Linked DNA regions of Oryzias latipes. The protein of the gene in region 6 purifies or fractionates together with the protein of the main gene of each other region. This does not show direct contact. Links are inferred from orthologs where the notes say so. Each region holds a gene or a part of one and is shown on either strand. Other genes may lie near its edges.

What was found.
Region 1: the proteins of med9 (region 6) and med8 purify together in Homo sapiens (affinity purification with mass spectrometry; 5 studies listed by BioGRID and IntAct, with this or other methods). This does not show direct contact. The link is inferred for Oryzias latipes from reciprocal best matches to the Homo sapiens genes MED9 and MED8.
Region 2: the proteins of med9 (region 6) and polr2e purify together in Homo sapiens (affinity purification with mass spectrometry; 4 studies listed by BioGRID and IntAct, with this or other methods). This does not show direct contact. The link is inferred for Oryzias latipes from reciprocal best matches to the Homo sapiens genes MED9 and POLR2E.
Region 3: the proteins of med9 (region 6) and med7 purify together in Homo sapiens (affinity purification with mass spectrometry; 5 studies listed by BioGRID and IntAct, counting the BioPlex papers as one, with this or other methods). This does not show direct contact. The link is inferred for Oryzias latipes from reciprocal best matches to the Homo sapiens genes MED9 and MED7.
Region 4: the proteins of med9 (region 6) and med18 purify together in Homo sapiens (affinity purification with mass spectrometry; 6 studies listed by BioGRID and IntAct, counting the BioPlex papers as one, with this or other methods). This does not show direct contact. The link is inferred for Oryzias latipes from reciprocal best matches to the Homo sapiens genes MED9 and MED18.
Region 5: the proteins of med9 (region 6) and med16 purify together in Homo sapiens (affinity purification with mass spectrometry; 5 studies listed by BioGRID and IntAct, with this or other methods). This does not show direct contact. The link is inferred for Oryzias latipes from reciprocal best matches to the Homo sapiens genes MED9 and MED16.
Region 7: the proteins of med9 (region 6) and med12 purify together in Homo sapiens (affinity purification with mass spectrometry; 6 studies listed by BioGRID and IntAct, with this or other methods). This does not show direct contact. The link is inferred for Oryzias latipes from reciprocal best matches to the Homo sapiens genes MED9 and MED12.

The regions. Positions count from the first base shown.
Region 1 is NC_019862.2:24,741,087-24,745,068, reverse strand, and holds med8 (mediator of RNA polymerase II transcription subunit 8), read right to left. Parts: upstream 2,801-3,982; 5' UTR 2,708-2,800; coding exon 2,702-2,707; intron 2,570-2,701; coding exon 2,448-2,569; intron 1,420-2,447; coding exon 1,275-1,419; intron 1,192-1,274; coding exon 1,051-1,191; intron 973-1,050; coding exon 885-972; intron 814-884; coding exon 574-813; intron 498-573; coding exon 427-497; 3' UTR 253-426; downstream 1-252. UniProt on the Homo sapiens protein: Component of the Mediator complex, a coactivator involved in the regulated transcription of nearly all RNA polymerase II-dependent genes.
Region 2 is NC_019862.2:26,974,570-26,978,790, forward strand, and holds the start of polr2e (DNA-directed RNA polymerases I, II, and III subunit RPABC1), read left to right. Parts: upstream 1-1,421; 5' UTR 1,422-1,538; coding exon 1,539-1,595; intron 1,596-3,332; coding exon 3,333-3,507; intron 3,508-4,221. UniProt on the Homo sapiens protein: DNA-dependent RNA polymerase catalyzes the transcription of DNA into RNA using the four ribonucleoside triphosphates as substrates.
Region 3 is NC_019868.2:21,185,906-21,190,180, forward strand, and holds the start of med7 (mediator of RNA polymerase II transcription subunit 7), read right to left. Parts: upstream 2,801-4,275; 5' UTR 2,685-2,800; intron 518-2,684; 5' UTR 509-517; coding exon 1-508. Other genes in the region: itk (tyrosine-protein kinase ITK/TSK), read left to right, coding at 4,188-4,275. UniProt on the Homo sapiens protein: Component of the Mediator complex, a coactivator involved in the regulated transcription of nearly all RNA polymerase II-dependent genes.
Region 4 is NC_019874.2:22,764,196-22,768,152, reverse strand, and holds med18 (mediator of RNA polymerase II transcription subunit 18), read left to right. Parts: upstream 1-1,158; 5' UTR 1,159-1,515; intron 1,516-1,992; 5' UTR 1,993-1,999; coding exon 2,000-2,072; intron 2,073-2,791; coding exon 2,792-3,348; 3' UTR 3,349-3,457; downstream 3,458-3,957. UniProt on the Homo sapiens protein: Component of the Mediator complex, a coactivator involved in the regulated transcription of nearly all RNA polymerase II-dependent genes.
Region 5 is NC_019862.2:1,609,767-1,613,266, reverse strand, and holds part of med16 (mediator of RNA polymerase II transcription subunit 16), read right to left. Parts: coding exon 3,478-3,500; intron 3,408-3,477; coding exon 3,258-3,407; intron 3,191-3,257; coding exon 3,085-3,190; intron 3,003-3,084; coding exon 2,847-3,002; intron 2,193-2,846; coding exon 1,975-2,192; intron 1-1,974. UniProt on the Homo sapiens protein: Component of the Mediator complex, a coactivator involved in the regulated transcription of nearly all RNA polymerase II-dependent genes.
Region 6 is NC_019866.2:10,874,976-10,877,605, reverse strand, and holds med9 (mediator of RNA polymerase II transcription subunit 9), read right to left. Parts: upstream 1,253-2,630; 5' UTR 1,201-1,252; coding exon 1,121-1,200; intron 926-1,120; coding exon 706-925; 3' UTR 501-705; downstream 1-500.
Region 7 is NC_019868.2:8,263,262-8,266,761, forward strand, and holds part of med12 (mediator of RNA polymerase II transcription subunit 12), read left to right. Parts: intron 1-67; coding exon 68-178; intron 179-263; coding exon 264-377; intron 378-506; coding exon 507-643; intron 644-2,111; coding exon 2,112-2,291; intron 2,292-2,454; coding exon 2,455-2,526; intron 2,527-2,621; coding exon 2,622-2,785; intron 2,786-2,903; coding exon 2,904-3,065; intron 3,066-3,143; coding exon 3,144-3,345; intron 3,346-3,459; coding exon 3,460-3,500. UniProt on the Homo sapiens protein: Component of the Mediator complex, a coactivator involved in the regulated transcription of nearly all RNA polymerase II-dependent genes.

The DNA.
Region 1 (3,982 bases), on a different chromosome or scaffold from region 6:
GGTCATACAGCCAGACAGGATCAGAGCAGACAGAGGGCCAACACTCAGACAGGAATAAAACCCCCACCACCACCATTGTCAACAGCAATAGTTCCTCGCGTTCTCCCTTAAAAGTTGTGACACAACGTCCACCCCCATCAGGCTCAGCGCTGCAACACAGACTCAGAAGAGCGGAGCTCAGGTTTTTTCACGTCGTTTCAGTGCAGAAACAAGAGAAAGACACTTGTATAATAAAGGCCACACAAACCAAGCTGCTTTTCTGGGTTTTATTGAAAACATGTCATTGTGCTGTTAAGATTTAGCCATAAAGGATCCCATGCTGCCACCTAGTGGCTGTATAGAGAGCTTCAAAGGGGGACGTGAAGGTGGACCCAGTAACAGACTGATGTTCCTGCATCTGAGCAGTAAAGAGGCGGGCGGGGGAGATCACCGGTTGTAAGGGTGAATGGAACCCGATGCAGACTTGATGTTTGTCTTGATGCTGCTTGGCATTTTTCCTGGACAAAAATAAAGAAATAAAAATGTGTCTCCAATACAAAAAACTTAATACATTTTACCAGTACAGTTTCCTACCTGGCTGACCTTGCTGCTGGGGGGCCCCAGGCCCTCCCATACCTGCTTGCTGGTTTGACCCGCCACCAATAGTGACCTGCTGTAACGTTGGACCTCCGCTCATCATGGGCCCCTGCCCTGGGTGGCCAGGGGCCACAGGGCCAGGAGGTCTACACTTGGAGAGTCCCTTCCCAAAAGCCACAGCTGCTACCAAGGCACTGGTGTCTGTGGGGTTGAAGGACGCTTTGTTCTGCCGCACTGCTGGAAGATAAACACACTCAGCTCTTTCTACAATAAGGACAACAAGGGATTTACACAAACGAGCGACCCACCAGAAGCATCTCCCTCTCTGTCCTCTCGAGGGTTGTTCAGCTTCTCCAGAAGGTTGGAACACAGCTTGTTCAGAGCCTGGATATGCTTCTGTGGATTAGCACAGACAAACACTAAACACCTTCTGAGCACAGACAACAGATAACAAACATCCATGCGCCTCCTGACCTGAGCCAACTCAGGACCAATCCTGACCGCCTCTGCACTCAGCTGCTTCTCCTGCTCTTCCACCTCGGGGTCAGGCTTGGTCCTCAAGTGATCTGGCACAATCTCGTGACTGAACACCGGGACGCGTTGCTCTGTGAGTTTCTGAGGGGGGTGTGGGGGTGGACAGGATAGTTAGAGGTCTTTCACCACACAGGACAGCCTGCAAATGTTGCGGCGACACTCACAGCTAAATCCTCATCCCGGTCAGGAGACAGGAGCAGCGGGATGATGACCTGACTCCGGAAAGCTGGGGTCTTCTCGTTCCTCAGCAGCTTGTTGATGGTGTTCAGCTGACCCGAGAGGAGAGCAAAGTTGTCCAAAACAGATGGCCTGAGGGACAGGAAAGATTTGAGAGGGGGGTGAGAAAACTTTTGCAGGTAAACATGGAGACACAAACACTTTCTAAAAGACGCATGCACACGTACAAATACACGCACGCAAATACAGACACCAATGCTACAACAAGCTGGCAGTTACCATAGATCTGTGTTGGCTTGCTTGTTTTTCTTTAGTTTCGTTTTTTTTTTTCTCTAATTATTATTCTGTTTTTTGACAGAATTGTTGTTTTTTACACAAGTGCAGTGGCGTGCCTGCTAGTCCTTTGGACTATTTATCCCCCACTTTCTGGGTCTGAAGCGGTCTGTGGGTACATCGTCTACACGGTCAGCTGTTGTTGCTTGGCAACAACAACATGCCGCTGGAGAAGCAATCCCAGATCGCAGGAGATACTGAGGAGACTGGGGTTCTCCTGAGTTTTCAGGACTCTTTTTAATGATGGCATTGTTGCGTCTGCCCTCTTCTATGGTTTGAGCTGCTGGAGGTGTGAATGCACAAACAGGAACAAGAAGAGGATCAACAAACTGGAGCGGAGATCCGGCTACGTTCTGGGATGTCTCCTAGAATCGGTAACTGTGGTGGGTGAGAGTAAAATGTTACAGAAACTGAACTCCATCATGGACACTCCTCTTCTTCATCATCATCATCATCCTTTGTATGGGTGTACTGAGCAGCTCCTTTACACCTTGTTGCAGGAAGGAGCACTTTCCCAGATCTTTCTTCCCGTCAGCTATTAGACTCTGCAATGCCTTATAGACATTGGACAAAAATGATTGCTGTTAATTGTTTAAGTGTATTTTTAGTGTTATTAATATATATCTGATGTTTTATTGGAGCTATGGCAACAACAAGGTAATTTCCCCTTTTGTGGGATCAACAAAGATTTATAGTCTAAGTGCGCTCGCGCACACATGCACACGCACGATATGCACTCACTTGTTAACTTCGCATGTTTCCAGGCTTTTATTTATCATAATCAAAGGAGGGGGGATACGTTACGTCATAAGGGCAGGAGGACCCACCATGTCAGACGTTCGTACTCATTCTCCAGCTTGTAGATGAAGCTGCTCAGGGCGTTTTTAACGTGAGCCACCCGGGAGATGAGAGACTCCACCGCCGTCTCCAGCTGCTTCTCCTCCCGCTGCTGAAACACAAAAAGGACGAGCAGAGAGGCCCGGACAGATTACACAGCGCCCGAGCTAGCATCAGTCCAAAGTATCGTCCACAGTAGGTCAGAAGAATCACAGACAACCGAGTGAAATTATTTCAGACTCACTTGCATTGTTGATCTGTCAGCGACCCGGAAGTCTTCTAGGTTGTACTTCCGCTTTGCGCTTTCCAAAAAAAAGAGATGCTTCTTCTTCTCTGGTCAAATCTGACGGTGTGTTTGTGCTCCCTTGTGGCTACAGCAGGTACCCATACCACCCATCCTCTTGTTTTTTTCTTTTCTTTTTTTATTTATTGTTCAATAAATATTTGTTTCTGAGGGTTTTGCACCCTTTAATATTGTTTTCTTTCGTCCAAATTCTCTGTTCCAGGCCAAAATAATGTACTAGAACTGTCCCGTCAGAGTCATTAATCCAGTCTATACTGACTTTTTTAAAATAGAGAATCAACGATGGTGTTGACTAAAAAAAAATGAGAAATTGCAGCAACCAAAGTGAAATTGAAGAGCTGAGAGCAGAATCAGAGGATGAGTCCTGCAGACAGTTGTGAAGGAAGCACAGAGAAGGTGCAGCTTACAGGGAGACAGAGATAAAAGCTCAGAGCAGAAACAATTTAGTCTTCCTGGTATTTATTAAAAACAAATGATATGTTTAGTGTTTTTGTTTCTGTGTGTGATCATGGGTCTTCTGTAACAAGCTGTATATTGTTCTGGTTATCTTTAGTGGAAGCTCCAAATGTCCCAGAATCTTGGCCAACCATTACAAAATCAGTTCTTTTCAAGTTTATGAGTCATCAACATTATCTATTTAGTTCGGCTTTATTATTAACATTCACCGGTCCAGGCATCAGACTAAAATACAAGCCTTATAAAAACAGAGACCTGATTGTTTGGTGCAACCTTGGAGAAGAGCTCTCTGACCTAAGACCTCAAAAGTGTCTCTTAGACTGAATCCTAACACCATTTGACCCAGCAGTGGTCTGGTGAACTGCCCAGGGTGTATCCCACCTTTGCCTTTCAGTAGCTGGGTGGGCTCTAGGACACCCAGCATACTTTTTTTTTATATACATGAATAAAGGTGGTTTAGAAGATGGATCAATGTTTCTAGCAGTGTAAACTCTATATGCAACTGCTATTTTTACTTCAGGATCAGAGTTCAGATAATGTTTGCATGAGCAAATGTCCAACGTGACAAAATAAATTAGCCTGAAGAATCATGCCAGCTGTTCATACACACTTAAGAGTTAATAAAAGACACTCCAGAAAAGTTCAAATAGGACATCCACATTCAACAGGTCTGCACAGTTTCGTTTATTGCTCTGAAATGAGTGTAAAACGGAAACTCTAGAAGTAGTTTTCCACATCGCCTGTTTCCACCACCACCGTCTTCAG
Region 2 (4,221 bases), on a different chromosome or scaffold from region 6:
CAACAAACCACGACAGGAAATAAGAAACTTCACGATTTATCAGTCATTGTGTTTGTTTTGAACTGTTCTTCTGAGCTGTCTTGGTATTTAGACTCATATAAAAACCTAAATGGAATTTAGCAATGTGTTCTTAAATGGCAAAACATACAAAATGTGAAGGTAAATGTAAAAAAAATAAAAAAGTAAGGCAGAGGTTTTTTACGTCATACAAAAAAAAACATCTAAAATGTTGACACTGTGATATGTTTATCAGCTGGTGCCAGTGAACAGACGGAGTGAAGGATGCTGGCGCTGCTCCAGCGTTTGTGACTATAGTCTGTTCTGTTCCGGACTGTTCGGAACCATCCAGAACTCGCTGGCTAACAAATATAAGAGGTTTATGAGCTTATGGAGAAATCTCCTTACGAGGTGTTAAGCAGAACGATGACAAAAACACAACAATAACAGGAGACATGCCTACGTATGCATAGACATGTAATAATACATGTACTCCAATGGAAACGCATGCACTGTGCTAGGCTATGCAATCAGGTTATAGAGAAGAAATACTTTACCGTGGTGGACAAAACAAAGTACAGTACCATCGCCAGCAGTGCTCCGCTGCTCGCTATAGCCCCAACTGTCAACATAACAATTAATGGCCTCATTTTTGACAGCGACTTAAATAAAAATAATAATAAAAAGGCCCCAGTTATCGGAAAAAATCTATTTTGTTCATTGTAAGCGCACGTGACTCATTTCCACCCAGTGTTGTGAAACTCAAGTGGGTGGAGTCAAATGCTTGACAAGACAAGGAGGAAATGACGTATGAGGTTTTTCAAAACAAAAATAAAAATAAAATATAGGTCAAAACGTTCAAAAAAAGGGGGGGGGGTAGGAGATAGAGGTGCACGATATGAGGAAACTCGCGTTCTGCGATATCAATGATCAATATTGCGATGACGATATAACTAGCGATACATGAACAAATAGCAAAACAGCCAAAAGACAGTTTCTATTTCACTGCAACAGTTTAATTTAAAGAAGAGTCAAGATGACGTACTTAAATTATACTCAATGACCCTCGTCTACATTCTAAGATTTTATCTATTTTTATAGATAAAATGTGTCATAATTAAAACATAGAAGGTGATATATTTATTTATTATTAGCAAAATATACTAAGCTTTTTTAAAACCTAAATTCAGTCAGTAAAAAATAAATTTAGAAAGAGATTTTTAATTCTGAAGCAAATTTTTATTTTAATTTATTTTTTTTACCATAAGTAAATTGTCTTCAGATTTACATTTCCAATTAGCCGAAGTTAAAAAAAAATACCGAATAATTAAGAACATTTTATGAAGACTTAATAAATTCGCTCTGAAGATAATAACCTGGAGGACTTTTCTTTAAGAACAGTTTTTTTAAACGTCAACTCGATCAAACGCAATGCATTGTGGTATATAATATTGGCCAAGCCAGGAACCATCGATGCCATCGGATTTTTAGAAGAATATTAGTGATTTAAAAATACGAAAAGGAGAATAAATTGAGAAAGGATGGACGATGAAGAGGAAACTTACCGGCTGTGGAAGATCCGTAAAACAATAATGCAGGTGGATTAAATAAAAGGATATACTAGCTTAGCAGCGAACTAGCTGTTAGCTTCACATGTGGCTCGCGTTAAAGAGTCGCTTTTGACTGCCATTGTTAAAGTTGTAACTAAATCTTTTACGTTTTGTGTGTTAATCTCTTATTCTCAGTGCAAGTCGTTCCAATTACGCGCTCAGACTTTTTTTTTTAATTATTATGTGTAGGAATGATGCATTCGTTAGCCTCGTTTGAACGAAGGCTAACTTTAGCACACCCATGATGACCCATTAAAAAAAGCCAACATGTTTTCGTACATGTAGACTACATGTATGACAACATGAATGCTTCAAATCATTAAATACACTTTCACAAAGTTTGCTGCTAAACTGCTTTTAGATTTTTGTTTCTGTGATGTACTGAAATATAGTTATCAGCTCTTTATTACGTTTAGGCTTTTTTTAATCGACAATAATTATATGACATTTATGCAGAGAGTCAGGTTTTGCAGTGTTGGACTTCCTTTGTCAGCACCCCTGCAATTCGACTGGGCATGCTGTCAATCAACTTTAGGGCCAAATCCTGACCGATAGCAACCCAGATTGATTAAGATCTGGGGAGTTTCCAGGCCGTGGACCCAAAATGTCAACATTTTGGTCCCCGATCCACTTAGTTATCACTTTTGCCTCATGGCACGGTGCGCCATCGTGCTGGAAAATACATTGTTTGACGCCAAACTGTTGTTGGATTGCTGGAAGAAGTTGCTGTTGGAGGGAGTTTTGGCACCATTCTTTATTCATGGCTGTGGTTTTGGAGAAAAATGCGAATGAGCCCACTTCCTTGGATGAGAAGCAACCCCACACATCAAGGGTCTCAGGATGCTTTACTGTTGGCACGACACGGGACAGGTGGTAGCTCTCACCTTTTCTTCTCCGGACAAGCCTTTGTCCAGATGCCCCAAACAATCGGATAGAGGCTTCATGGGAGAATAGGACTTTGCCCCAGTCCCCAGCAGTCCACTCGCCATACTTTTTGCAGAAGATCAATCTGTCCCTGATGTTTGTTTTTGGGGTGGATAAGTGGCCATCTTCTAAAAGTCTCCGCCTCACTGTGCATGCAAATGCGCTCACACCAGCCTGTTGCCATTCCTGAGCAAACTCTGCACTGGTGGCGCTCCGATCCCACAGTTAAAACCCATTAGGAGACGATTCTTGGCACTTGCTGGACTTTCTTGGACGCTCTGAAACCTTGTTAACAAGAATTGAACCTCTTTCCTTGAAGTTTTTGATGATCCTATAAATTGTTGATTTAGGTGCAATCTTAGCTGCCACAATATCCTCGCCTGTGAAGCCATTCTTATGCAACGCGATGATGGCTGCACACGTTTCTTTGCCGGTCAGCATGGTTAACAGTGGCAGAACAATGATTTCAAGCATCACCCTCCTTTTAACATGTCAAGTCTGCCATTCTAACCCAACCGGCCTGACATCATGATCTCCAGTCTTGTGCTCGTCAACATTCTCAACTGAGTTAAAAAGACGATGACTGAAATGATTTTTGGGGGGGGGATTCATTTAATTTTCATGGCAAAGAAGGACTACGCAATTCATCTGATGACTCTTTGTAACATTTTGGAGAACATGCAAATTGCTATTATAAAATCCTAGGCAGCAACTTTTGCAATTTCCAATATTTATGTAATTCTCAAAACCTTTGGCCAACACTATACATATTAAAATGTTGTTTGTTTTTTTTAACCACAGCTCTGCCACGATCGAGGCTATCTGGTAACACAAGATGAGTTGGACCAGACCCTGGAGGAGTTCAAGAGTCAATTCGGAGACAAACCCAGCGAGGGTCGTCCCAGACGGACGGACCTTACAGTCTTGGTCGCACACAACGATGATCCCACTGATCAAATGTTTGTTTTCTTTCCTGGTAGGTTTATACTTGAGAATAATTTGGGAACTCATCCTTTTATCCATAAAATAACCAAAAGTTTAAGTTACACTCCAATCATATTTCGATTTATTTTTAAAGGAGTCCCCAGTGGTATTATATTTATGAATGCTCTGTTTTTAGCCAAATTCATAAAAACCTGTGTGGGCATCACTGTTGGCACGGACGTAAGCCCCTGCTGATATCCCATCATCCCTTTTTTGTTTACACACTCTCCCATTAGATTACATTGACTTTATTAGAGAATTGAGCCATGGTGACGTCGCCTTTCTTCCGGCTCCAGAGAAATGAAGCCAATAGACCCTTTTCATGGTGACGTCAGACAAAACAGAGACATGGGCGCCATTGTGTCACCGTACTTCTGGTTTTAGACGAGCAAAGCTGACAACTGAACGCTGTTTAACACCATTCTATGAGAAGAATACACACTAACCTTACCAATCGCAACGGCACTTTTTACATGATTTATTTTATAAATGTCATATCCAACTGTAGTCAATTTCCTCTTTTAAATCTTTCACAAGTCAAAATACAAATTTAAGTAATCCATCAATATTTAAGGTTCAGTTGAAAATATCAACCTTTCATTTGAGTCTAACAGGTTATATTTTTTTACAGTTTCCTATTCTTTTTATCATTTTTCTTTTTCGCAGATCAGACACAGTTATTGGCAATAGCAAAGAGGTTCAGTGT
Region 3 (4,275 bases), on a different chromosome or scaffold from region 6:
AAGCAAGACACCCTTGGATCATCTCCACGACTCTCTCCAGGTGTTTTTGGAATCTCTCCGCCGTCTCCAACCTCTGCCTCTTCTGCACCTCCATCATCACCCTCAGAGTCTCCCTGGCTTGGTGCGGCCTGTACTCGTTGATCAGATGATGCATGTGAACAAACAAAAGCTTTATGTCCTCCATCTTCTCTTCGCGTTTAATATTACCAGGACTTTTGATAAGGATGTCTAAAAGGTCCAGAAAGTTTACGAGAATGGACATGTTCAGCTTCTTGAGCTCCCGTTTGTGGTCAAACTGCATAGGATGCAGCCTCTCGATGCCTTGGCTCTCCAGAGGCCGAATAATAAGGTCGTCGCACTGAAACTGATTGCCAAACATCATGTAGCTGTCTCTGATGGGCGGAGGCGGCTTTGGCACCAGACCTTTGCGAATGTTTTCATCTGTATACTCCTTGATGTACTGCATGGGCGGTGGAGGCAGTGCGCTGACCTGCTGTGGTTCACCCATTTTGCAGACCTAAAAATTATAAAATAAATAGAACTACAAGTTAGAAAGAATCCAAACAACAAATACACAGTCATGCACCTGATAAGATCCCACTGTTGTGGCGAGTTCACGGGTCTCACTTATATGAAGTAAAACAATCTTTAATGACCCCCTCATATGTTCTGGGTGATGGCATCAGCTACCTCTTGCATAAACGCTTTCTCCAGTCAGTAAAGTCACAGTCATGATAGCACTTTGTCAAAACTATGCCTTTTTAATGTGCCAAAATAATAACTTTCAAGAAAAAATATCCTTATTTATTCATTTTCTAAACCCGTTTTTGTCCCTTTCAGGGTCACGGGGCTGCCGGAGCCTATCTCAGCAAAGGCAGGGGACATCATGGACAGTTCGCCAGTCTGTAGCAGAGCCACGTTCACACACCCATGCACACTCACACCTAGGGAGAATTTAGTAACCAATTAACTTATGAAGCTTGTTTTTGGACGGTGGGAGGGAGCTGGAGTCCCTGGAGAAAAACCAGGGGATCACGCAAACGCCACAGAGAAAGGTCCCCCAGTGGTGATTCTGTTTCAGGTCCCCCAGCTGGGACTTGAACTGGGGGCCTTCTTGCTGTGAGGCAAGAGCGACAACCAAGAAGAACATGCATCTGTGGAGCTTAAACATATACATGTTTTTAGGTTAGAGTAGATAAGTATTAAATGCAGATTAACCAACAGACACAGGAACAGATGTACAATGTTGACACTTAGCCTAATATTACTAGTTTTGTATATGCATCCACAAACGTTATAATTATTTTAACACGGTTTACTATAGTTTCTGTTACAGATACTTATTCAATAATACATTGTTTTACAATATATTTTTCAAAAGATTAAAGAAAATGTAGAGGAATTTTTAAGTGAAACATTTTTTTAAAATTGTGAGAAAAGACTTATACAGGTTTCCATAATCAGTTTTACAATACCAAAAATAATTAATCAATAAAGCCATTTCTAAATGCTGTGGAAAATGGCATAAAGATGTGACAGCTTCCATTGCATTATAGTTACCTGTGGGACAATTAAACAGATTTTTGATTGATTCCTAAACTTCTTTACATCCTCATGTTTTTTTAATTGAAACAAATTGTCTGTGCTACTTACCGGTAACTAAAAATCCAAATTATTATAATTCCTTTATCTATAAGAAAACAGTTTTTATTCAATTGAAACATGTTTAAATTTATATTATCTATCACTATCCCCCCTATCAGATTGTACTTGTTAAAGAATATGATTTTTTTCTGTGTGATTTAACACCATTTTTTCAAAATGCTTATTTGTTGTGCACATAACCTTATAATTGTTCTGCTATCAATTTAGCAAATACAACTGAATTAGTAGATTTTATATTCAAAATTAAAAAATAAATAAAAAAAAAACTGCAGAGTTTAAAAAAATGTTTAAAGAAAAGCCATCCTGATGTAAGAAGAGAACAAATGAGGGTCAAAAACAAGTCAAATTGTGGATTTTAGTAAAGAGAAGTGCATACATGCACATTCTATACATTAAAAAAAACACAGCTTTTACAAAATGCATATTTGTTGATGTCTGTTTTCAACACTTTGTATCATTGTTATTGAAGGAAAGAAAACAACATTCAAATCAGAGAAGGATATGTCATATGGTCGGTGCATGTTTTAACTTGAAGATTGCCACGATCAGAGTTTACCGTAGCCAAACGAGTCGTTAACCGCTCCAACCAATAAAAGTATTTTTTCCCACGCGTTTTTTTTAGGATTTTACACGTGCTCACAAGAAGTACAACAACAGATAATGTTCACACATCACATAGCTAAACCTGTTTTCTAAGTAAGAAGGCGGACAAGTCGACAACAGACACACACATGATCATCACGATTCATTTTGAGAACTATGTCAAAGTCAAACCTAACGTAACAAATCTCGAATTATTCCGCCGTAGTGCATTTAGATACCACATAAAAGCCCACGTATATACTAACTAACAGTAAAAGTTATTACAAAAACCTAATTAATAAAACCGCTCCGTTGATGTTTGGCTAACAACAAACGTCGTTTCCTGCATCTGCTGAATAATACAGTCTCTACAGTCAAAGAAACAGGTCTGTAACACGAATAAAAGGGTTACATTTATAACTGATTATTGTACAAACCTGTTTAACGACTCAATTGGTTGAGTTTAGATGAAAATTCTTCTAGCCAGTTAGCTCCTGACTAGCTTCGCTTTATTCATTTCCCGGTTGAGTTTCAGATGCCAGGATTGGACAGTGACCCGGAAACAAACTCGACGTTGATTGGTTGCGTCGACAAGCCTTTAAAGTATTTCATTATTAACCTTATAATTAGTGGGTTTTATTCAAAACTAATCTCTTTCCTGTATTAATTGTTTTAAACTTTTTGTTAGTTTTTGTTTGTTTAATATAGTGAGTTCAGGTTCTGATCCTGGTAGGCCTATAAATCTTAAAATATGTTCTTAAAATAAGCTGCTTAAGAAATCAAACCCAAGCAAAAAAAGTTCAGATCTGTAACCATAAAAAAGGGGGGGGAGGGGGACTCTAATTTTAAAAATGTATCTATCATTTGTTTTTACGCCCTAAATACAGTAGGGCAGGTGAAAGTGTCTAACTTTGAATTTTATGTTTCATTTTCTACTTAGTCAATTAGCAACACCTAATATTCATTCTTTTTCTTTTTTTTACACTTAAATAAAAATGGTCAAACTATTATAAGTAAGCTGACTTCATCTTGACCCTGACACTAAATAAGAATGACATGTAACATTTTATTTTATAAACGTTGTCATAGGCCTAGTGAATATTTAGCAGAGGGCAAAGGTTGTGCTTCGGAGTGTGCAAAACAAAACAAGAACATCGTATTTGAACCAAAATTGAAAAGAAAAATAAGAATCTTTCTAACCCCAAAGAAAACATAGCCTCATGAAAAGTACATCAAAGGTTCCATATTGTATTTGGATACATTTTTCTTAGAAACCAGACTTTTCTCTTTTGCTGTTTTCTGCATTTAGTGATTCATGAAACCTTGACATTCTTAGTGTTTGTAGGATATAACTTATCATGCATTTTACATTTTTAAAAATTGCATTTTTTTCATTTTTAAGTTTTCCTTCAGTAGTACTTTTTTACTACAATTTTGATACAAGCGGAGAGTTTCTTTTAAATGAAGAAAAAAGAAAATTTAAAAATTCCGAAAAAAAACCCCAGCTATGGCTTCTTAGGTATTGATTAACAGTGTTATTTTTGTTTTTAGCTTTTGATTTAATATGAAAATTTAAATTGTTTTCTAAAACATTTTTGTTTAACAACCAAGCAATTCTGACAAAAAGCTTACATTTTTATGCAAAATTTGATCAATAGTACATCAAAGGTTCATGTTAAAAAAAAAACCTTTATTGAGTTTAACACAACATACGTGATGATACGTGTGTGTATTTGTGTGCACATCAGTGTGTGATTGCTTGCACAGAGTGTTGCCACAAGGATGTGGTTTACTGCATGCAACTAACCCACGCCGGAAACTCTTCGGCATCTTCAATGTTTGCATTCTCCCTTTTTTTTCCCCCCTGCAGTCAGAGGCTTTCAGTTACTCCGTCCAATACCACCCAGTGTCTCCAGTGGTGTTATTCTCAACTGCTAACCATGTTTCCTCGGGTGATTTTGAAGGGAACCATGATCAAAAAATCTCAGCAAAAGAAGAGAACGTCACCGTGTAATTACAAAGAGAGAT
Region 4 (3,957 bases), on a different chromosome or scaffold from region 6:
TTTGCAGGTGGAAGAAGAACCCTCCATTGTTTATTCCTTAATTGCCTTTAGAACCCCTGCAAAGACCAATGGCCGTGAATTAGCCCACAATGAAACCATTTACAGTGAAATAAAATTCACAAAAAGCAGTTTGGATAGGTTGAGCAGGTAATTGTTGCGATATTTTAGCAGTTCTGAAGTTGCCTTAACATGGATTCTGTTTTGTGAGTTGAAGTAAACTTCACCCTACAAGGTCCAAAATGGAAACCCTTAGAAGGGTTTTTTCCATTGTGTCAGAAAATGAATAACTGCTTGCTAATTATCTTTATGAAATATAGCATTGCTTTGTGTCTGTACCTGATACTGTCAGCAAGTGCTTTGAAAACAGAAAACAAGTTCCTTTAAATTATTCTGAACCATTATTTTTTCTGACACAAATTTTGTTAAATATTTTTTCTTTAAAGGCTTCGGAATCCGTCAAAACACAGTTTTTATATCTTTATTATTTTATGTGTAAAATATGCATCTGATGGAATGTTTGTCATTTACTTTAAAAGGTTAAGCACAAATCTTAAAAAAGTTTGTGAACCTCAATCAGCCAAAAACTATAGCAGCATGTCTGAATTTTAAATGTTTTATTCAATGTTTTAAAAAGAAAATATTTAACAAAAACTAATTGTAAAAATATTGTAATTGTTGTGAAGACAGCATCTGAGTTTTAAAAAAAAGGCCCACAGAGCTAGGCTTTTATTTTTTTATGTGCCAGCAATTACTATTACAACATTTTCGGTATGAAATCTACATATATATTTTTATTATTTTTAAATATGTGCAAGGTTTTCAAATACATTTAGTTACTTATCTGCACTGATAATAGTTTCAATTTTTAGAGCACGTTTTGGTTTGTGAGTGTTTTTGTAAATCAAATGACTTGAAGTTGATTTTTAAAAAAATGTTATTTATGGATTGTATTTTTAAAGTAACCCCTGTTTGGGTTACTGTAATTGATCCTTTTTCTACATTGCTAAAATTTAAGTTCAATAAGTGTATTCAACGTGTACTTATTGTTTTATCATTTGCCTAAATACCTGTTTGCGCGGAAAAAGCTAACACAGAAAGTTGCTTCCATGAATGGTTATATTCCGGGGTTTCAGTAGGTGGCAGTAACGAGCTTTAAACTGGATTGAAAGCGCCTTTTAAAAACAAAAGCCAAGGAAGAACTTGGGCGCCTTTGTTTTCTGATTAGCATCAAATTTTGGTTGTTTTTAGAACGGGTTACAATATATATTTCATTAACACTTTTTTTATTTTTTAAGTTAAGTACGAATGCCTTAAATTACTTTGTTGATGACAGTAACAGCTCAAATCGTGAGTTGGTAATTCCATGTAGGCTAACTGTTAACTGGTACTAGCAGCCGTGTGGATATTAGCTAACCGGTGAAACAGGGGGCCCACCGTGGAAACCAACCACAAACAGCAAAAATATCTTAACTTTAGTCAGTTCTAACGCTGCGCCGAACTCTTTATTCTGCTCAGGTAAACCATCTTACTCTGTAGTGAGAAACGTCTACTGCTTTTGCTAGTTAGCATAAGCCTGCTATTGGTAGTTGTATTTGTTCGCTAATTTAGCTAACAACTGTTTTCTGTTTACTCATTCATTCATTGGTAATGTCACTCACATGTATCATCAAACAACTGCAAATGAAATAGAGTAGTCCAACAACACTTTGCAAAAAGTAGCCTATTTAGTTTACTACATGTATAATTGGCTAGTGGGACGATATACTTGAAGTAAACTTTTAAACACAATCTAGTATTGCTAAATTCAAAACATAAAATGTTCCAATTTAGTCTGAAGAAGTTTTCAGTCAGTTAATACTTCTTTCACAATATACACATGGTCTATCGTACACTTGTACTTATTCTCACGTGTCCTCAATGAAATAAACTTCAAGTGTAGTACTTTTTGCTAAGTGAATGACAATGCCATCATTCACTATTACTTTAAATCAGGAAGAAGATGGAAGCTCCTCCTGTCACAGTTATGCCCGTCACCGGCGGTGCCATCAACATGATGGAATATCTGTTACAAGGTGAGACGATTCAGATATAGAAGGTTCAACCAGAGATATAGAGGCTTGATATATTTACAGATAAAACGGTGTATTTTTCCAGAATACATATATTAGAAGCCAGTATGAAGTTCACTGGCTAAATTATTTGAAAAATAATGTTTACATCTTCATTCTGTTGCTAAAACCAACTTCTATCCATTAATATTAGTCTTTAAAAAAAAACTATTAAGTTGAGCTAATTATTTTTCCATCATGAGTGTTGGTGTAGCATTAAAGAGCAAACCACACTGTCAAGAGTGTGGAAAGAGTGCTCAGTTACTTTCTGTCTTGAAAATAATATATATTTCTAAGGTTTTCCTGTCCTGTTTGTGCTGCACTTTACTGGACACATTTGTATTTAGTAAACTGAAGTATTTAAGATTATATAGATGCATAAAGATTTATGGAAAAATAATCCTCAAGTCAGGAAAGCTTTTTTTAAATTTTTTTATTCATGAAACCTGTTATTCATGTTTTCATCACATCTGAAGTGTTTATTGAAACTGTGTTTGTAAAAAAAAGAGATCTAAAACGAACACTAATTTTAACATTGAACATTTTTTAATTTCATGATGGAGGATTATATGTTTAATATTCATTTTTAAAAAGTTGTATCACAGCAGGAAATAATTATAGTGGGAGTAAAGAACTTACTATATGAGTCTTTAAAGGATATTCTATTTTCTCGTTTTTTTCAGGCAGTGTTTTGGATCAGGCTCTGGAAAGCCTCCTGCATCGCCTGCGTGGTCTCTGTGACAACATGGAACCAGAGACTTTCACCGACCACGAGCTGGTTTACCTTTTGAAAGGCCAGCAAGGCAACCCCTTCATTCTGCGTGCCAGACGCTCCCTCTCCCACCCTACTTCTCCATGGCACCTGCGGTATCTAGGCCAGCCAGAAGTGGGAGACAAGAGCCGCCATGCTCTGGTTCGCAACTGTGTCGATGTAGCTGCCTCTCAAAGCCTTCCGGAGTTCCTCAATGAGATGGGCTTTCGCATGGACCATGAGTTTGTGGCCAGTGGTCACATATTTCGCAAAGGAGCAATGAAAGTTGTGGTTAGCAAGGTTTCACGCATCCTAGTACCAGGGAACACGGAAAATACAGAGCGAATGTCGCTGTCGTATTTAGTGGAACTGAGCATTTTGGCTCCGGCCGGACAGGACACCGTGTCAGAAGACATGCGCAGCTTTGCCGAGCAGCTCAAACCTCTGATTCATCTGGAGAAGATTGACCCAAGCAAGCAGAGACATTAAGCATTAATGGAAAAAAATGTTTTTGTTATTGTTTTCCTTTCCATTTAAATGCTTTTTAATGTGATGAAATACAGATTTACTTTGCTTAAACTGTTACAGTTGTGGTTAATCTGACCTGTCAGAGTATTTTTTTAATTTATTTTTTACTTTTTGTGCCTACTATAAAGAAAATATTATAGTAACAAATAGCTGGAAAATACTTAAATATATTTTAAGTTGACAAACATTTTGCAATGCCTCAGATGGCTTATGTTATTGCTTTAAAAATTTTTTTTTAAATCTTCAATTTCATTTTTTTATATAATAAATGTCCACCAGGGGTCTCTCTTTCCACAAGGATGGTCTTAATTGGAGCAAAGTGAACGCTACCTCTCATCATCTACAGGAGCTCTGGTTGCCATGGAAATAATTAGCTGTGCGATCTGCACATCGTTTACCCCACTCTAATTAGCTTTCTCAATTGCTTAATGATACATAGACCTGTGAAAGCCTTTCTTTCTTCCTTTCCACAAAAGCATTGATTTTCCCTCTCTTCCCCTTTCATTTCTACTGTTAACCCATTAGTATCCTTTCTTTTTTTCATGGGAACTTGAGCTGGGACTATTACAA
Region 5 (3,500 bases), on a different chromosome or scaffold from region 6:
TAAGCAACTTTTAGTATTTTAAATATTCCTCAGCAATTACAAAGAATACGAATTGTGCTTCATTACATAACATCATGTGATTAACTGTAATTAATCATTATGCCCATTGATACATTTTAGATTATTTTCAAAGACCTTCGGTTACAAAATCTTTTTTTAAAGAAGTTTGCTTTAAAAAAAAGAATACTGCTGTTTATCTGGTTACTGGGGATCTACAGTCTCAGAACTCGATCTATGAAGATTAAATAAAGAATTTTGCTATGGGTGAAGGAATCGGTCAATAAGAAACATATTCATAAGACAAAGTTGTGCACAAATTCATAATAAGAGCGTAACTTTGCAAAAAAAAACAACAAGTATGAATAAAACATTTAGTTTTACGTTTGACATGTCGGTTTTGGATAAGACTCTTGCTTGTCTTGAATTTGAAATTTCTCCTGTTAACAAACTGTCAAAAATCCGTCACGGGGTCAAAGGGGCATTAACATGGATTCCCAAAACATTGACTGTTCAAATTTATGCATGCATCTAGAAGTTTATTTATTAAACTAAAATAAAATAGAACATTTTAGAATCTTATTGATCCCCTGAAAGGGCAATTATCTCAATACAATTGCTCTGTTAACTAAAAAAACGTTATTAACAGCCATTTCCGTCCTGCCGCATTTTATTTATTACCATGCGACAACAGCTGATTGCATAAACAATGCACCGGACCCAGGACTGGTGGGAAAAAACCAGCAGGTTACTTGGAGATTAGAGCCGATTAAGCTTATAAAAGTCCATGTTCATCGAAAAATAGATGATAGTAAGAGAATGATGAGATGAAATAAGAAAACGGCTGATCCCCGCCTCTCTGCTGTTGGATGCTGACGGAGAGATTCCTGTCCCCCCCCAGTCGGGGCATGGAAGAGAAGGGGCGAGTCTATTCCCAGGACCCAACAGAGCAATGGTTAAAACATAATTTCTCAGTAATGGATCAATTATATTCTAAAAGATTCTATTTTATTTTAGATTAATAAATACATTTCAAGACGCATGCACAAATTTGAACAATCGATGTTTCGATTCGATGTATACACCCTTCTTGATAGTTTGTTACCTGGGAAATTTGGTATTCAAGAAAAGCAGTCAAATTTAAAGCAAAGGCAAATCGTGTTCAGGACAGACTTGTCACACGAGAAACTTAATGTTGTGTTCATATTTTTTTCACAACACATTGTGCACAACTTTGCCTTTATGAATATGTTTCTTATTGACAGATTCCTGACCCCATAGTTCCCACCAGCCCAGTGAGTCCAACGGTACAAATTCAAAGAAATTCAGCTACAACTTTTACTTCCTGATAGGGCTGCTCAATAAGAGGAATACTTACCATAGGCGATATTAATGATCAATATTGCAATGACGATATAACTTGCGATACATGAAGAAATAGCAAAACAGCCAAAAACACATCAATTCCATTTCACTGCAACAGTTTGATTTAAATAATATTGAACACAACTCAAACATTCCAAATGACCCTCGTCTACATCGGAGGCAAGCATCTAACATAAAATGGCTCCATCTAATTGGTGAACAACGTGAAGGTGTCTGTCTATCCGATTGGTCAACAACATGAAGGCGTCTATCTGATTGGTCAAAAAGAAAACTGCACAACTCTACACAATCTCTGCACAATGTTGGCACTCTATAAGTTTTGAACATTTTGGAGCACTTTCCACTTTTGTGACCATAACACTGTCATTGTTGTCTATAGAAGGCTACAAAATTGTAATAAATGTTTTTTCTGCAAAGTCACCTAAACGTTTTATCCTTTTTTTAACCGTACTGCTCTTAGGCTTGCTCTCTGTTGGACAGTTGTGGAATACATTTCAGTACTTACTGCATGTGTATGTGTGTAACAGAAAAATGTCAATTAGACTTAACATAGCTAAAGCTATCACCAGAATCTAGCATCACGGAACTCACCTTGCCGTAGTTGTCAATTCCAACCAAAGCTAATGATGTCCAAGAGAACTGCAAGGCTTTAAAGTGGAGGAAAGGACCTGAAGTTCTTTGGCGTTTCAAGGTTGCTTCGTCTCCGGGCCGTGGACCAGAGGAGGAGGAGCTGTAGTAAATCCCCATGAAATGAAGGGAGAGGCGATGATGGATCTGAATACTGCCATCATGAAAAGCCAGAGCCAGACCTGAAAATCAAGAGAACAGACAAAGTTTAGTAAAGCAATGAAAATGCTCTCTGCCATAGAGTTCCCTCAACTGTTCAACGGGCAAATTTATTGTCACTATAGATCCCTTGCAGTGACGTCGAGCAGACACCAGGTGTCCGCCATTTTGGAAGTCAACCATTCATTATTTTTGGTACATCCAACGGGTAAAATCAGCAACTTTAGTAATAGCAACCAAATCTCTTCGTGGTCCACTGTCAAACAGTCAAACAGGAAGGTTGTCGGCCTACAGATGCCAGCAGACTCTGCAGTGAACACTTTGCGTCAGGTAGACTGTTGGTTACACATTTGAATTGTCTTAAAAGAAATACATATCTAGGTACGCTGGGTAAGAAGAGACACCAGCCGTCAGTTCTGAACTGTAACAGACCTTCCAGCTCTTTATTTTCTTGCCAACAACACAGACGGAACAGATCAAAGACAGACAGTAGAGCGGACACCACAAAAGATCAACACGACAAAGCTCTGCAGCAGCAATGGTCTTAGTCTTACTCCCACCATTTGACTTCCAAAATAACGGAGAGGGTGTTCACGGAGGTGTGCAAGGGGTCTATAGCAGCCTTACTGGAGTTCTACCGCTAAGGTAAGGTTCTAGTGGTTTTGGGTTCTACTCACCAAGACCTGGACAAAACTTGGTGTCTGGTGCAACCTTGAGGTCAGTGTTGGATATGGCGATAGGCAGTTTGGGAAGAGCAACAGCAGACACTCTCTCTAGGTCGCCGGTGGTTGTCAGAATCCGCCACTTCAGGATGGTTGGCTGCTTTTCACCCACTGAAACCAGGAAGTCTGAGGTCAGAGGATCCAAATGATAAGAAACAGAGTCTAGATCTGCTTGACTGGAAGTTTTTCTGACCAACTGGGGATCTGTGCTGGAAGATGTTGTTGACAGGAAGACCTTCCTTTCTAAGAGACCAGCATTCCACAATGCTGCCAGTCTGATTGGATGCACACAGCAGAACCTAGAACACAGACAAGCGCTCAAACGGCAGCAGGCTTCGTGGTACCAGAAGTTGTGAGGATAATTACCTGCTCAGAGTTCTCTCTGGTCAGGAATTTCAGGTGTGTGACAGCTGGGTATTTGTCCCTCCTCATTGGATCGGTAGTGCAGCGCAGAAACAGGGATGGTAACAGCTCTGTGTCAATGCGACACTTCTCACTCACAACACTAACCACCACCTGAATACACAGTCAAACAAAGTTGAGAAGAAGAACAGGTAATAGCTTTAATGGCTGTAACCAAACTGACCTTGTAGAACTGGACAGGAGAGG
Region 6 (2,630 bases):
GCTGTTCGAATGAAAATACATGTTTATAACACATCATTTATTGAGACATTCTGAAATTAAATGGACTTATATATAAAAAGAGCTAACAGCCTGAATAATTATTCATTAGGACTCCATTGTTTGCACAAATGATAACCATGGCACAATAACAGAGAAGGAAAACAATTAGACTAGGAGGCAGTGCAGCACATATAATTAGAGGCTATTTAGTAGATATCAACAGATGTAATATTTGGCCCATTAGAGACAATATCATTTATGATTAAAATCAAACTTTGTTTAGAGAAAAATGCTGATTCACATTAAATTAGATTTACTTTGCATGTTGTGAAAAGGAACTACATAAAGTTATGTGAAAGTGTGTGCCGTGGCAAATGCTTTCCTTTATTTAAAAACCTTTTAGATTCAGACTAAATGGTCTGCTCAATAAAGCATCAAAGCCCTTATACATTTATTATTAATAATAATAATAATAATAATAATAATGAAAACAAGTAAAACACTATAGCACGATTTAATTTATTAAAAATAGAGATTTACAACTTGAAATAATAACAGATACTTCAGAAACAGAGCAGATCATTCACACTGATGCAAACAAAAAAGAAAAACAAAAGTCCCATTTTTCATTTCAGGTTTTTTTTTAAATGGTAAACCGTAGAAATAAACGTCTTTGCTCAAGTCTCCAGTTTGTAGTCTGTTGTCTCACGACGCCTTAGGCACATCAAACATGCACAGTCCCTTGTACTTCTGCAGCAGCTGGTTCTTGGTGCGGACCTGCTCCCGCAGCGTGGCCAGCTGCTGCTGCTGCTCCGGCGGACTGCAGTCTATCCCAGACATGTTAGAGATCTGCTCCCGGGTTTCTTGGATCTTTGTTTTTAGTTTTGTCAGCTCCTGGTTGACATCCGGGCTGTCCTTATCCATGCTAAGCAGAAACATAAATAAATAAATAAATACATAAATAACAGACTTCTATTAAAGGCAAAACTGCACCCATGATGGGAAGCGTTCACGTCACTTCTCATATAGCAAACCGTAAATACCCCCAACGAGAGTTTACCGTGAACCATTTAGTAAATACCAACATATACGTAAACCCAGCACACAGGAAACAGCTTACCATTTGATAATGTCGTGAACTAAGGGCAGCAAAGAGCAGTCTTCGGTCTCCTTCACGAGCTTAGCCTGAGCTACCGCCATTGCTACTCCTTCTGCAACTGGCGCAGGCTGATGACGTCACAGGTTACTCCGAGAATCTCAACTGAAATCACAACTTTAAAAAAGTTCAATTGATGTTGAACAACAACAACAACAACAATGATTATAGATGAATGAGTGAATGATTGATTGAATGAATAAATGAATGAATGAATGAATGAATGAATACTCTAGTTATCAAAAGTATGAAAAAAATGATTACCTTGAGATGGTAAGTCATATAAGTCATGGTATGATTCCCAAACTATTAAAAAGTCTTGACACAAAACAAGAAATAACAAAGAAAAATTTGCTGTAATAAATTTCAAACACAAGAAAAAAGATCTAAAAGATTTGGGACTGATTTCTTTCTGATAAAGCCCTTGCAATTCTCGTGGCATGTCATCATTTTGCTCAGAATAGGTCCCAGACCTATTCCAAGGTTGCTCGGGCATCAAGTCCGGGTGCCTCCTGTACGCCTCTCTGGGGAGGTGTTGCGGGCATGTCCCACTATGCGGAGGCCCCGGGGAAGACCCAGGACACGCTGGAGAAACTACGTCTCTCGGCTGGCCTGGGAACACCTTGGGGTCCCTCCCAGAAGAGCTGGAGGAAGTAGCAGGGGCGAGGGAAGTCTGGGCATCTTTGCTTAGACTGCCCCCGTGACCCAGTCCCGGTAAAGCAGAGTAAGATGGATGGATGGATGGATGGAGGTCACAGACCATTTGTCAATGCACATAATAAACACATGACCTAGGACTTGGAATGACCTTGGCTACACGTCTTGCTACTTGGTAACCTGAAGTACTGACATCGAAAGTCAACACAAGACATGCTTGAGAACTGAAAAATGGGGAGCTGTGTAAACACTAGAGCTCATAGCAAGCACAAATATAGTCTCACGGTGCGTCACGCAATTTGTCTGTTTGGAAGATAAATGAAGTGTTTCATTCAGGTCGTGCATCTCTGTCTGGAAACCCTTTTTCCTTTTCTGTTTACACAGTGCGTCCTTGTTGATTGGGGATACAATATTTAGTATGTAGAAAATAAAACAAAATAATGAAAAGCTTACTTCCTGGTTATTTTCTAAAGCCCTGTTTGGCAATACATTAGGCAACACGGAGAATTAAAATGGCTAATTTGCTCAATTCTTTGTTAGTACAAGTGACTACACGATTATGCATGTGTAGCAATGACGATTCTCCTGTTTGATGTTGAATTATGTGTTTTATTTTTAAATGTATTCTTTTTAGCCCAAATAACTCATGTTTACATCCATTTCACATGAAATCAAGTTTGACCTCTTGATGCAGCGAACATCCCATGAGTTCATTACTCACACCTGGTGAACACAGAAAGGGAAAAACTCAGTCTCCCCTGGAGAAGATAGAATGCCAACGTGACACAGGCAGTGAGCATTAAATTAAGTGTGAGGC
Region 7 (3,500 bases), on a different chromosome or scaffold from region 6:
AGTCTAAAGCTAAACTGAATAGTCTGAAGTGATGTAGAGCAGGTATGATGTCACTTCTCACTTGCAGCCTGCAGTGAGCAGGACTCTGAGCCGGGAGCCAGGCTGACCTGCAGGATTCTGCTGCACCTTTTCAAAACACCACAGCGCAACCCTGTCCCTCAAGACGGGGCCAAGTCAGGTAATGAAGCACTAACACACAGATTTTCACTCACTTCTTATCAGAAATGTCAATTCTTTGGTGTTTTTTTTCTTTCTGTTTGCAGACAAATCCATGGTTGGGATCCGGTCGTCCTGTGATCGCCACCTTCTTGCTGCTTCTCAAAACAGCATCGTCGTTGGAGCGGTGTTTGCTGTCCTCAAAGCTGTGTTCATGCTGGGTATGAATCTCTCACTGCATCGTCAAACAAGGACCGTCTTCATTTCAGTTTGCGTTGAGGCTTAGAGAGTGATGGAGTTATCAGAGAAGCAGGTGGGTTTGGTTGAATCATCTTTTCATTTTTCTGCAGGCGATGCTGAGCTTCGAGGTTCGGGTCTGTCACATCCTGCTGGCCTGGATGACATATCTGACAGGCGCAATGTCTCCATAGAAACAGCCAGCTTGGATGTTTACGCCAAGTATGTTCTGAAGACCATCTGTCAGCAGGTGAGGGATGAAAACCCTGTGAAGTTGAAAGGGAAAAAAATGCAAGTTTTTGGGGGATAAATCAATAGAGAGGCCTTTCACCATTGAAGAATGGAAATTTACAATGACTTTCTCAGCAAAATTGAGCTTTATTGTGATTTTATTTCTAAGGAATGATTCTTTACTCTGGGTTTAACAATCAACCAATTTCCAGTTCCGACTGTAGTTCAGATCAGGCGTGGTTAATTATTTTAACTTGCGGGCCACATTGGGTTGTAAAATCCGATAGAAGGGCCGGACCAGGAGCAGATGCGTGGAGTGAGAATGATTTAACATGGAATGCAGATGAAAACATTTATATTGAAAATTATATTCTAAAACAGAATATTCTAGAGTTTTTAGGTTAAAACTTAATTCTTTTTTATTGTGGAGCCCTTTGGTACCTTCAAGGAGTTGTAAAGTGCTACATGAATAAAGTTTCATTCATTCATGATCCTTTTAAAAAAATAAATACCGGTAACTTTATTTATGAAATAAAACAATGACCAAATAACACTATGATTTTCAAAGACAAAAATTCAGGAAAAATAAACTGATACATTAAAAACAAAACACAAAAAAACACAATAAATAATGGATCCTCTCCCGTCATAATCATAATAAAGGCTTTGAGGGCTGCAGGTCATCACATCTCAGTTTTCGCAGCTGCGTTGTGTTCTGCACGTCTGTTTCTCATCCAGTAATAATGAAAAAGCAAATGCCTATGTCTTCTGCTGCAGCTACGTATATTTCTGCGTTACCTTTTCACCAGAACAGAGTTCCCTGTTTATTGCAGGAGTTACGTTCTAAAAATAACCGCTATCGTTGAAATCCATGGAGGATGATTACAGACGTTTATGCCAGTAAAACTCCTCACTGCCTAAATACACTTTTCTCACACAGACATGAACATTTTCACCATTTTTTCTTGTTTAAATTCTCAAACCTTCATAGAAATTAAGTCCAGGATCTTAAAATGAAAACAAAGATCTGATCAATCACAGATTTCTGTAGATCTGAAGAGCTCCGCGTTTCTGTATAGGAGACACGGAATGGAGGAGATTGATTGACAAGGTCTCCAGCCAATCAGGACACAAAACAGGGTGCGCTGTTTAAAAAAAGCCGCATAATCGCTCTAAAAGAATGAGCTGAACCGGGAAAGATGAACTGCGACGTAGAAAGGAAAGACTGTCTTCTGTTCTAATTGACAGAGATTTTAGAGGGTTTCAGGTTGGAGGACAGACTGCAGAAGGAGGGAAAAAATGTCACGTCTTGATCGTGTGGTCAGATAAAAAAACAAACAAACATGGGTCTCTGACATTGTTCAGTGGGCCGGACCAAACATGGAGGCGGGCCGGATCCAGCCCGCGGGCCGCAGTTTGCCCACCCCTGGTTTAGGGGTAGTTTCTGTTGGTTAAATGTCTCACGGCCCTCTTGTGTCCGTCTGTAGGAATGGGTCGGGGAGCGCTGCCTAAAGTCTCTGTCTGAAGACAGCAGTGCTCTGCAGGACCCGGTTCTGGGGAACATTCAGGCTCAACGGCTGCTGCAGCTGATCTGCTATCCTCACCGGCAGCTGGACAGCGATGAAGGAGAAAACCCCCAGCTGCAGCGAATCAAACGCATCCTTCAGGTACAGGAGAGAGGTGTTTTTCAACCAAACGGTTGGATCGGCTTCATTAAACTTCAGCTGCAACTGTTGCGCTGCCACCTTGTGGATGAATAAGTTACTGAAAACCCTACAAACCTCCATGATAAATACGAAATATGTAAAAAGGATTGTTTCTTTTGTGTAGAATATGGACCAGTGGACGATGAGACAGTCGTGTCTGGAGCTTCAGCTGATGATCAAACAGAGCAGCAACAATGTGATTAACTTTTTTCGTTTTCCAAATACTTTTTCAGCTTTCTATTTTTTGTTATTGTTGAGAAAATGTGTTTGTTTTTCCCCCCCTTTGTCTAGGAGCTGTATTCTCTGCTGGAAAACATAGCTAAAGCCACTATAGAAGTTTTCCAAAAGTCAGCTGAGATGAACTCCAGTAACCCCTCAGGAAATGGAACAGCAGCACACGGAGGCTCTGCATCCAACAGCAACAGCACCACAAGCAAAATTAAACCTATTTTAAGGTGGGGATTCATGAAAACTCATAGGAAATATTGTATGTGTACCTTTTGGGTTTGAATCTTCCCGCAGATTGGTTTCCAAATGCTTGAGTTTACTGATGTCTGATAATGATTGTTGCAGCTCATCGGAGCGGTCAGGCGTTTGGCTAGTGGCTCCACTGATAGCAAAGCTGCCCACCTCAGTTCAGGGTCATGTGCTTAAGGCAGCAGGAGAGGAGCTGGAGAAAGGACAGCACCTCGGCTCGTCCTCACGCAAAGAGAGGGACCGGCAGAAGCAAAAAAGGTGGGGGTCAAACTCTTTATTTTGATGCCAAGCCCAGTTTTTAGTCCTTTGAGAAATCCCCGTCCCTTCTCCCTGCAGTATGTCTCTGCTGAGCCAGCAGCCGTTCCTGTCTCTGGTGCTGACCTGCTTGAAGGGGCAGGATGAACAGAGAGAAGGCCTCCTCACCTCACTTTACAGCCAAGTGCAGCAGATTGTGACCAACTGGAGGGAAGATCAGTATCAGGATGACTGCAAAGCCAAGCAGATGATGCACGAGGCGCTGAAACTACGACTAAACCTGGTAAGCATCCTCCCAAAACAAAACTTTGATTGGGCTAAATCTGCTGTGAAGTTAACCACACGTATCTTCATTTGAAAGGGTTTCAATGGCTCTGACTGTTTTGTCTTTTTTAAGGTCGGCGGCATGTTTGACACGGTGCAGCGTAGCACCCAGCA